Arabidopsis thaliana: one gene and its partner. The protein of the gene in region 2 binds, or shares a complex with, the protein of the main gene of each other region. Each region holds a gene or a part of one and is shown on either strand. Other genes may lie near its edges.

The links. Proteins that work in one complex are often made in the same cells at the same time.
Region 1: EMB2770 (region 2) and AT1G49590 share a complex: the UniProt entries of both Arabidopsis thaliana proteins name them as parts of the pre-mRNA splicing complex.

Annotation. Positions count from the first base shown.
Region 1 is NC_003070.9:18,353,076-18,357,273, forward strand, and holds AT1G49590 (C2H2 and C2HC zinc fingers superfamily protein), read left to right. Parts: upstream 1-1,707; 5' UTR 1,708-1,921; coding exon 1,922-1,930; intron 1,931-2,038; coding exon 2,039-2,239; intron 2,240-2,329; coding exon 2,330-2,414; coding exon of another isoform or gene 2,415-2,434; exon of another isoform or gene 2,435-2,671; coding exon of another isoform or gene 2,672-2,721; intron 2,722-2,804; coding exon 2,805-2,900; intron 2,901-2,996; coding exon 2,997-3,334; 3' UTR 3,335-3,658; downstream 3,659-4,198. Other genes in the region: AT1G49580 (Calcium-dependent protein kinase (CDPK) family protein), read left to right, coding at 1-261, 360-475, 557-664, 769-831, 915-1,082, 1,166-1,309. UniProt on the Arabidopsis thaliana protein: Nucleic acid-binding protein that promotes Pol IV-dependent small interfering RNA (siRNA) accumulation, DNA methylation and transcriptional silencing.
Region 2 is NC_003075.7:1,515,515-1,522,157, reverse strand, and holds EMB2770 (pre-mRNA splicing factor-like protein), read left to right. Parts: upstream 1-1,594; 5' UTR 1,595-1,657; coding exon 1,658-4,747; 3' UTR 4,748-4,945; exon of another isoform or gene 4,946-5,033; 3' UTR 5,034-6,128; downstream 6,129-6,643. UniProt on the Arabidopsis thaliana protein: Pre-mRNA splicing factor required for splicing and for the turnover of unstable transcripts. May be a U5 snRNP-associated protein involved in the formation of U4/U6-U5 tri-snRNP. Involved in responses to abiotic stresses.

The DNA.
Region 1 (4,198 bases), on a different chromosome or scaffold from region 2:
ATGTAGCTCCCGAAGTTCTACACAGATCATATACAACAGAAGCGGATGTGTGGAGCATCGGAGTCATAGCATACATTCTACTATGTGGTAGCCGTCCGTTTTGGGCAAGAACTGAATCCGGAATTTTTAGAGCTGTTCTTAAAGCTGACCCGAGTTTCGATGAACCTCCTTGGCCCTTCTTGTCTTCTGACGCTAAAGACTTTGTTAAGCGGTTATTGTTTAAGGATCCCCGGCGAAGAATGTCAGCCTCCCAAGCCTTGAGTCAGTCATTTTTAATTTCACAGCTCTTTATAGTTTTATGTCTCCTGTCTTTTGGTAGTCATAAATCACCAAATTCAGTTCCTATTTACTTTTTTCAGTGCATCCTTGGATCCGAGCTTATAATACGGACATGAATATCCCTTTCGATATCTTGATCTTTAGGCAGATGAAGGCGTACTTGCGATCTTCTTCATTACGCAAAGCTGCTTTGAGGGTATGTTTTAGGCATTCTTTTAAAGTGTCGAAAAGAGCATTGAAGATTACTTTCTCACTATTATGTGCTTTCTTTTCACAGGCGCTATCGAAGACGTTAATCAAGGATGAAATTCTTTACCTGAAAACTCAATTTTCTCTTCTCGCACCAAACAAAGATGGCCTAATCACAATGGATACCATTAGAATGGTTTGTGACACTATAACTTCTTTTATATTCCTTCCTCTTGAGAAAAAAAGAGAAACACCGTAGTAATCTAATCTGTATTGCATTTTTTGTTTCTGTTTAAACAGGCACTTGCAAGCAATGCAACAGAAGCAATGAAAGAATCTCGGATCCCAGAGTTTCTTGCTTTGGTAAATGACTGTGTTCTCTCGGATTTTGATAAATGCTTTAACAATTTGGTGTTAATGATCCTTCATTGACTGGCTTTTTACAGCTAAATGGACTTCAATACAGAGGAATGGATTTTGAAGAGTTTTGTGCAGCTGCTATAAACGTTCATCAGCACGAGTCGCTTGATTGTTGGGAACAGAGCATTCGACATGCTTATGAGCTTTTCGACAAGAATGGAAACCGAGCTATTGTCATCGAAGAACTTGCCTCTGTAAGTTAAAGCATCTGTCTTCAGCTTAAATACAAAAATATCGAAAAACAGATCCTCTAAAACGACATGCTTTTGAATTGCAGGAACTTGGTGTTGGACCATCTATACCGGTACATTCAGTTCTACATGATTGGATCAGACACACTGATGGAAAGCTTAGCTTCTTCGGGTTTGTTAAACTGTTACATGGAGTCTCTGTTCGAGCCTCGGGGAAAACTACCCGGTGAAGATAACGAAAACAAACATGACCTAAGCGAAATCGTAAAAGAAGATGTCAAAACCTTTACTCTAAATCTTGGATTGGTATTGGAAATGTAATAGTTGGTCAAAGACTGTACAACAAATGAAAAGTTTCTTACAAGAGCAATTCTAAAAAAAAGATTGTTGTAATAATATAGTAACCACAGATACTTTGATACTCTATGTGAAGTCAAGAAAATGAAAAAGAAAATTCCAAAAAGATTTGATTTTTGTCTCTCTTTCTTCCCAATGATTATGGAATCAGCGAAATCTTGGTTATTTCCGGTTTGTTACTGTGCTTTAATTTGTGAGATCTGAGTCGGTGTAACCAGTGAAAACCGGTTCTAGTGATGGAAATAAATTAGAATTTAGAAAACAAACCAAACCGATTTTCTTCTCCCCCAATTTTATATTTTGCTTCTCCTCTCGAGTTTGGGATTCGAGTTTAAGGAATTAGGGTTTCTAATCTCTCTCTCTTTCTCTCGAGATTTTTCTTCACTTAGTTCTTGATTCTGATTAAAAGTTGATCTTATAGTTCCGGTAACTTCGTTTTCTGGGTTTAATTTTCGATTCAATCTTCATCTCCTTGATCCACAGCCATGACTGAGGTAAATCAAAATTCGCATCTTTTCTCTCCAAATCTCTTTGAATTACGAAACCTCTGTCTTGTTTCGTAATTGAAATTGATCTTGAGTTTGTTTTTTGTGTTATTTCAGTATTGGGTAAGTCAAGGGAACAAATGGTGTGAATTCTGTAAGATATGGATACAGAACAATCCAACAAGTATTAGAAACCATGACCTTGGTAAGCGTCACCGAGAATGTGTTGATAAGAAGCTCACTGATATGCGTGAGAGGAGTGCAGCCAAAGACAAAGAGCTCAAGAAAAACGAAAAACTGCTTCAACAGATCGAAGCTGTGAGTAATCATTCTTGTTTCTTTTGCCAGTGATACTTATTCTAACGTATTTATTTCTGATTCCATTGTTTATATCTCAACTTGTTTCAGAAAGCAACTCGTAGCTATCAGAAAGATATTGCAACTGCTCAGCAAGTAGCTAAAGCAAACGGTGCACCAGAGGATGGTACATCCGGTAAGTATCTCTCTCTATGATGTCATTAGTATTTGTTCTTCGACTTATAGCTGCTATATTCAGGGTTGTTGCTTAGCTTTGGATCTGTTTGTTATAGACTTAACATTACTGAGGTCGTAGAGTATGTGTGAATTGGATTTGTGAATTGCTTTCATTGACCAAAAGTATGAACAAACCAAGCAGCGTCTGATTCTTCGATTGTCATATTACACATCTTTGCAAATGACTTATAAGTTTTAATGCCTATAACCCTATAGAGAATCATCACGAAAGAGCGAAACGGTTGCTTCTTTTGAGTCACTCTCAGGTTCTTTCATCATTTTGATTGCCATTTTTCTTAGCCTTTTTCATTTATACATATACCATGTAGTAACCATATTGTTATGGCAGATTGGATGCTCGACAGTGCTTCAGGCTATTATTACAACCAGACCAATGGTCTGCACTATGATTCACAGTCTGGATTCTATTACAGTGACTCAATAGGTATGTAATATATATCGAGTTTTTTTTATTTGTTTCCTTGCAAACATGATTGTATACAATTTCGTCGTGTGTATGCTTACACGGGTAATGAAACAGGACATTGGGTGACACAAGACGAGGCCTACGCTGCGGTTAAAACATCATCAGGAACCAAAGTACCTCTCGTGAAAAAGCCTGTATCTTCTTCAGGAGCTGGACCAAGTGTGGGGAAACCACCTGGCCGTCTTGTCACAGCTTCTTTAAATCCTAAAAGAGCTGTGAAAGGAGCGGCTTCATCTGTTGATCTTGGCAACAACAAGAGAAAGAGGCAAGATGAGAAACCGAAGAAAGTATCTGCAGAAGAGAAAGCTGCATTGAAGGCAAGAGAAGCTGCTAGGAAACGAGTTGAAGATAGAGAAAAACCATTGCTTGGTCTTTACAATAGACCCTTTTGATGCATCATTGGCTTGATCCTATATGCAAAAGGGAGAGGCTAAGCAGAGAAGAGTGATGATTGATCTCATTGTGGCGGTTATTTCAGTTATTCCTACATGACAGTTTATTCCAAAACTCTCTGGTATTTCTGGGAGCATTGGTCTTGTGTTCTTCTAACTGTTGTTCCAGTCATATCAGTTTCCTCTTTGTTGTACACACCTATTCAATTTTATAGTCAGAATGATGGAAGTCCACATTTTACCCATTTTGATGAAGTTACGAGGTCTTTGCACAACTTTTTTTTTGTGTTCGTCTTAAAAAAAGTTTAGAAAATTAAGTTCTTTTTGGTCTATTCTTCTAAAGTTTATTGGTTGACTTTCATGAATCAGTTTCTGAAATTATGCATAAACTTGTTAAGATGGGAATAAATCGAAACCAAACACTACTCTAAAGAAGTAAAACTATCAAAGCACTGCAAAGTGCACACTAATAAATGATCCAAACGATTTAGGAAATTACTTATTGTGGACCAAGCTCTGACTTTGAGGAAGTCTCAGTAACAAAGACAAATTAACTCAAAAAAAAAACTGAAAATAAAAAATTCAAGTATCAGACGACCCCAAAATTTTGACAGAGACTGAGACAGCAAGATAAGCAAGATTCAAATCCAGGATACAAAACCCTCTTTGGACACTAGAGGTTTTAGTTTCGATGGTGCGAGCTAACCTCTGAACCAACAACTATCATCGGATGGATCACTTTGATCACCCAACGGTTTGTTTTTATCCCAATACCCGTAAGTCCAGGACTCACAGGGTTTCTGATGATAGAGACATACCAACACTTTCAAGAAGCTCCCGGGACTGCAGCCGCTGCAGTAGCGT
Region 2 (6,643 bases):
ATCTCGTGCCATGTAAATTGTCAGACTTTTGGTTTGTTTCCAGCTCATACCTGGTTTTGAGGTAGTCTATGTTCTTGGCTTGCCATTTCTTTTTAATCTTGAGCTATGTTCTTAGAGGCGGCTAAGCAGTTCAGGACTTGGTTGTTGGTTAACTTATTGTAGCAATACTTGTTCTTATTTGGGCTTTGCTGGGTGATCCAGAACTCGGCCACAAAGCCTTTCAGTTTGCCTTTCCATTTCTGTCTTTGGCTCTAAACTCCATGTAGGTCGCATTCTATTTTGGCGTGCTCGCTACAACAAGTGATATACTAGTTATTTTTTTTCGTTCTTCACTAAATACTAGATTTTAACCCGCGGTACACCGCGGAAACAATTTATTTTTTAAAGTTAGTATACATAAAAGTTTGCAAATTGTATCTATCTATAAATATTTTTATTTTATAGTTTACAATTGTTATTAAGTAACGTCCTGCCAAACCCGTCCCGCCAACCCGTCCCATAAAAAAAACATTTATTTTATTAATGTTAATCTTATTTATGATATGTTTATGAATTATTGTCTAAATATTTTGTAATTTTGTAATAATTAAATGCTATCAAATATCTCTGCGATTTGACGATTATAATTAAATTGTTATAGTCATGGAGAAAAACAATATCAAAAATGATAATTTTGTAGTAAATAAATGATATTAAATATTTTGAAAGTTTTATTTTAGTAACTAATCGTGTAGTTAATGTGGAGAGATTTAGGGAAGATTGTTAAATGTCAAATATTTAATTTGAAGATTTTTTTTCTAATTATCAAAAACAAACATTAAAATCCAGTGGCAGCTATTGTAAATAAGTCCCAACTATAAGATTTATTTCACAAAATTGCTGCAAAAATGTATATATAGATATTCAGCGCGTATTTTATTTTGTGCTCTATTTTCTTCTTGCCTATTACACTGTCCCATATATTCCTGGCTTTGGTCGTTGTCACTGGGCAACGGATATCCTCTCCGAATGCTATTATGGTTTGTTGATGAAGAAGATGCTGAAACATATCACACCTCTGGCTCTGGTCCGTGTGATTGAAACAAAAAAGACGAAAGGATGTCTTCTTATCTATTTGATTCAGTTGTTGTTTTCATAACTAGTAATTTATTACGTTGGTTTGGAAAGAGTCAGTAAGCGGGGATAGCTCAGTTGGGAGAGCGTCAGACTGAAGATCTCGATCCACGCTCACCGCATTACGTTGTCTTTTCGTTTTTATTTTCTTTCTATATATCTTTTACTCATTGATTGTGTTACATGAAGCGGGGATAGCTCAGTTGGGAGAGCGTCAGACTGAAGATCTGAAGGTCGCGTGTTCGATCCACGCTCACCGCAATATTTAGTCATTTAATTTTTTTCCCAAAGCCATGCAAACGACGTCGTTTAAAACCAAAACACACAGAGATAGTCATATACGGTGTCGCTTTATGAAAAGCTCGAATTATACTAACGGTGGTTTTACAATATGAAGTTCAAAAAGCCCATTAAAAAGCCCACTACATATCCCACCGCCTTTACCTCTGAACCGACTATTTTTTTTCCACCCTTTATATTCGTTGTAACAGCAGAGATTTTTATAGTTTGGTTTCTTTGACCGGAGAATCTCGATTAGGTTACGATGGTGTTTCTCTCGATTCCAAACGGGAAGACTTTATCGATCGACGTGAACCCTAATTCAACCACCATCTCCGCCTTCGAACAATTGGCCCACCAACGTAGTGATGTTCCACAATCTTTCCTTCGTTACTCTCTCCGTATGCGAAACCCTAGCCGCGTGTTTGTAGATTCAAAGGATTCCGATTCGATCTTATTGTCCGATCTCGGTGTTTCTCGTTTCTCTACTGTGATTATCCATGTCCTGCTTTTGGGTGGTATGCAAGCGGCTCCGCCGAAGCCTCGTCTTGATTTCCTCAATTCTAAGCCTCCGTCAAATTATGTAGCGGGTTTGGGTCGTGGTGCTACTGGGTTTACTACTCGATCTGATATTGGTCCTGCTCGTGCTGCTCCGGATCTTCCTGATCGGTCTGCTTTGGCTACAGCGGCTGCTCCAGGAGTAGGTCGTGGAGCAGGGAAGCCAAGTGAAGCGGAAGCGGAGGACGATGAAGAAGCTGAGGAGAAAAGGTACGATGAGAATCAGACGTTTGATGAGTTTGAAGGGAATGATGTTGGTTTGTTCGCTAATGCTGAGTACGATGAGGATGATAAAGAGGCTGATGCCATCTGGGAGTCTATTGATCAGAGGATGGATTCGAGGAGGAAAGATCGGAGAGAAGCGAAGCTGAAGGAAGAAATCGAGAAATACCGAGCCTCGAACCCTAAGATTACTGAGCAGTTTGCGGATTTGAAGAGGAAATTACACACTTTGTCTGCGGATGAGTGGGATAGTATTCCTGAGATTGGGGATTACTCGCTGAGGAACAAGAAGAAGAAGTTTGAGAGCTTTGTGCCTATTCCTGATACGCTTTTGGAGAAGGCGAAGAAAGAAAAGGAGCTTGTCATGGCCTTAGACCCAAAGAGCAGAGCCGCTGGTGGGTCGGAGACACCATGGGGGCAGACGCCGGTGACAGACTTGACTGCTGTCGGTGAGGGAAGAGGTACGGTGTTGTCTCTGAAGCTTGATAACCTATCAGATTCAGTTTCGGGGCAAACTGTAGTGGATCCTAAAGGCTACTTAACTGACCTGAAGAGTATGAAAAGAACCACTGATGAAGAGATATACGATCGCAATAGAGCTAGATTGTTATACAAGAGTCTGACCCAGTCGAATCCAAAGAATCCAAATGGCTGGATTGCTGCTGCTAGAGTGGAGGAGGTGGATGGGAAGATTAAAGCAGCTAGGTTTCAGATTCAGAGGGGCTGCGAAGAGTGCCCGAAAAATGAGGATGTTTGGCTTGAAGCTTGTAGGTTAGCTAATCCAGAAGATGCCAAGGGGGTTATTGCGAAGGGAGTTAAGCTGATACCCAATTCAGTGAAGCTATGGTTGGAGGCTGCAAAGCTGGAGCATGATGTGGAGAACAAGAGTAGGGTGTTGAGAAAGGGACTGGAACATATTCCAGACTCTGTAAGACTATGGAAGGCTGTTGTTGAGTTGGCTAATGAGGAGGATGCAAGGATTTTGCTTCACAGGGCTGTGGAGTGCTGCCCTTTGCATCTGGAGCTATGGGTGGCACTTGCGAGGCTCGAAACATATGCTGAATCAAAGAAGGTGTTGAACAAAGCGAGAGAGAAGCTCCCAAAGGAGCCTGCAATTTGGATCACCGCTGCTAAGTTAGAAGAAGCTAATGGGAAGCTAGATGAAGCTAATGATAACACGGCTATGGTGGGAAAGATTATTGATAGGGGTATAAAGACTCTCCAGAGAGAAGGGGTTGTTATTGACCGAGAAAATTGGATGAGTGAGGCTGAGGCATGTGAGAGAGTTGGATCTGTCGCTACATGCCAGGCCATTATTAAGAACACAATAGGTATTGGAGTGGAAGAAGAGGATAGAAAGAGAACTTGGGTTGCTGATGCAGATGAGTGCAAGAAGAGGGGTTCCATTGAGACCGCAAGAGCAATATACGCCCATGCTCTTAGTGTATTCTTGACCAAGAAAAGTATCTGGCTTAAAGCGGCGCAGCTTGAGAAGAGCCATGGGAGTCGGGAGTCCCTTGATGCCTTGTTGCGTAAGGCTGTAACATATGTCCCGCAAGCTGAGGTTCTCTGGCTCATGGGTGCCAAAGAGAAGTGGCTCGCTGGAGATGTTCCAGCAGCCCGTGCTATTCTACAAGAGGCTTATGCTGCAATTCCCAACTCTGAGGAAATCTGGCTTGCTGCTTTCAAGCTTGAGTTTGAGAACAAGGAGCCGGAGAGGGCAAGAATGCTGCTTGCAAAAGCAAGGGAAAGAGGAGGGACTGAAAGGGTCTGGATGAAATCAGCCATTGTTGAGAGAGAACTTGGCAACGTAGAGGAGGAGAGGAGATTGCTTAATGAAGGTTTGAAGCAATTCCCAACATTCTTCAAGCTTTGGTTAATGCTTGGGCAGCTCGAGGAACGGTTCAAGCATCTAGAACAGGCCAGGAAAGCTTATGACACTGGTTTGAAGCACTGTCCCCACTGCATACCACTGTGGCTCTCACTCGCTGATCTTGAAGAGAAAGTGAATGGGCTAAACAAAGCTCGGGCTATTCTCACCACGGCCAGGAAGAAGAATCCTGGGGGGGCTGAGCTATGGTTAGCTGCTATTCGCGCTGAACTGAGGCATGACAACAAGAGAGAAGCAGAGCACTTGATGTCAAAGGCTCTGCAAGACTGTCCCAAGAGTGGTATCCTCTGGGCTGCGGACATTGAGATGGCGCCACGTCCTCGACGGAAAACAAAGAGTATTGATGCTATGAAGAAGTGTGATCGCGACCCTCATGTCACCATAGCTGTTGCCAAGCTCTTTTGGCAAGACAAGAAGGTGGAGAAAGCCAGAGCATGGTTTGAACGTGCTGTTACCGTTGGCCCAGATATTGGCGATTTCTGGGCGTTGTTCTACAAATTTGAACTTCAACATGGCTCTGATGAGGACAGGAAGGAAGTTGTGGCGAAGTGTGTAGCTTGTGAGCCGAAGCATGGCGAGAAATGGCAAGCCATCTCCAAAGCGGTTGAAAATGCTCACCAGCCTATTGAAGTTATCTTGAAGAGAGTTGTGAATGCGTTGAGCAAGGAAGAGAATTCTGCTTGAGAGTATCAATTTTCTTATGTTTTTCATGATCAAGCTCTGCTCATAGCACATTACACCTTAGTTCTTGTTTTCTCTTTGCAGGCTCAACTTTTAACCATTCATGTTTTTCTTCAGTAGCGAGACCTGATATTGATTTACAGGAGTGTTTCACCAGATACATGTAGAATTCTCAGTTTACTAAATGCTTCAGTTTTCTTTGTGAGTCTCTGTGTGCTGCAGTGTTCAGCTATTAAACTTCTTTTGTTATTTGTATAACTGATCATTTGTTGTTCGTTTCATGCCTTAGCCTTCATCCTTAGGGAGCTTTTGTCTGCCTGGTGACTAAGATTGGTGCGTGGGCAAGTCATGAAACCCACACTCCCAACGCTTCTTTAGACAGTGTAAGAAAACTAACCCCTGACACAGTTTTTAGAGTTCTTTGTCCATTAACACTAGCTGTGATAGTAATTCTTAGAAGAAGATATTGGTAACCTTTTTAGCCTTAATACTAATAAACCTCTTGCCTGTTAAAATCAACCAACTAGTTTATTTGCCTTCTTTTGGAGAGCTGATTCTCAAACAAAGGCGACTTGTTTTCCTATCTTCAGTAGACCCTTGACTTTGAGAACCTTTTGGTCGCTCTCATCCTGTGGTAACACTGCAATTTGTTTTATTGTTGGGTAAAACTAGTTTGCAAGTACAAAGGTTGATTTGTTCTAGTCTTTTGCCGAGTACCTCTGGTGAGGCATGAGAAACAACAGGATATATTGTGTGGACAGTCCATTAGTTTCGATTCAACCGAAGATAAGAGAGAACTGAAAGTGAGACCAGTTTCCTCGTGATGGCCGTCTGTGAAACTCCTGCATTTCCAGTATTTGGTCAGCTTTCAAGTGTATAATAATTGGCGTTGAGGAAGTTCCCTCAGAACATTGTGACTGCCATAATCAGGATCAACTCCGATCAGAACAGACCGCACTAAAAAAAAAAAAAAAGAGGACCAAATCAAAGACAATCTGTTTGGTTTACCAAAAGCGGACCACAATAGGCTGTATTTAGCAATTAGCATATCACAACTAATCACCTCATCTATATCTAGTTTCTAAAGACTAGTTATACCATTATCCAAATTTATTATGTATTGTTCTTTTGGAGAACACATGGCGACAACGTGTCCAAAATATGGACCCAAAAGTGCTACCAAAAAACATAACAAAAGGCAAAATAAAATAAAAATGCAATATTAGGTTTGCAATCATCATCATATGATGATGGGGACAAGAACATGTTCGTTAACATTTTTTCCAAAAGATTAACACAAATAGATAACGTTATCGTTGGTTAAATGTATAATGCGAATGTGGAGCTAAATAGCAAAATATAAAGTAAGTGGATATATACGAACCGCATATTTGACTTTGGTACCATCAAATGTCCGTGCCTAGTTGGTTGTTGAACATTTTAATTACTTTATCAAAATATCTTATATGTTAGACTTTTGTGCTCTTGTTATTTCTGTGGTATGGTTAGAGGTTTATAGTTGATGTTAATTAGATAAGACATCATCTAAACCATCTTCTTAAACAAATCATATCTCCTCGTGAGTGTTACATAAAACTGTGATCGGTAGCCGAACACGATAATGTATTTAATTGGCCCAACAATCCAATTCATTTATGATGAAGAATAAAAAGAAATTCAAGTGTAGTTGGTTTAACGTTTTTTTTTTTTAATATAAGATGTTGTTTTGGTTCTGTTTAATGTTCTTGAGTCGTAAAATATAGGTAAGTTTTGTTACGGAATCTGTGCAAAATGCACATGTGATCATTTCCTCTAAGTCAGTACTTACTCTTTACTGCTAACAGATTAATTACATTGTATATAAAATTAATTAGATATGAAGTAAGGGCGGGCAAAAAA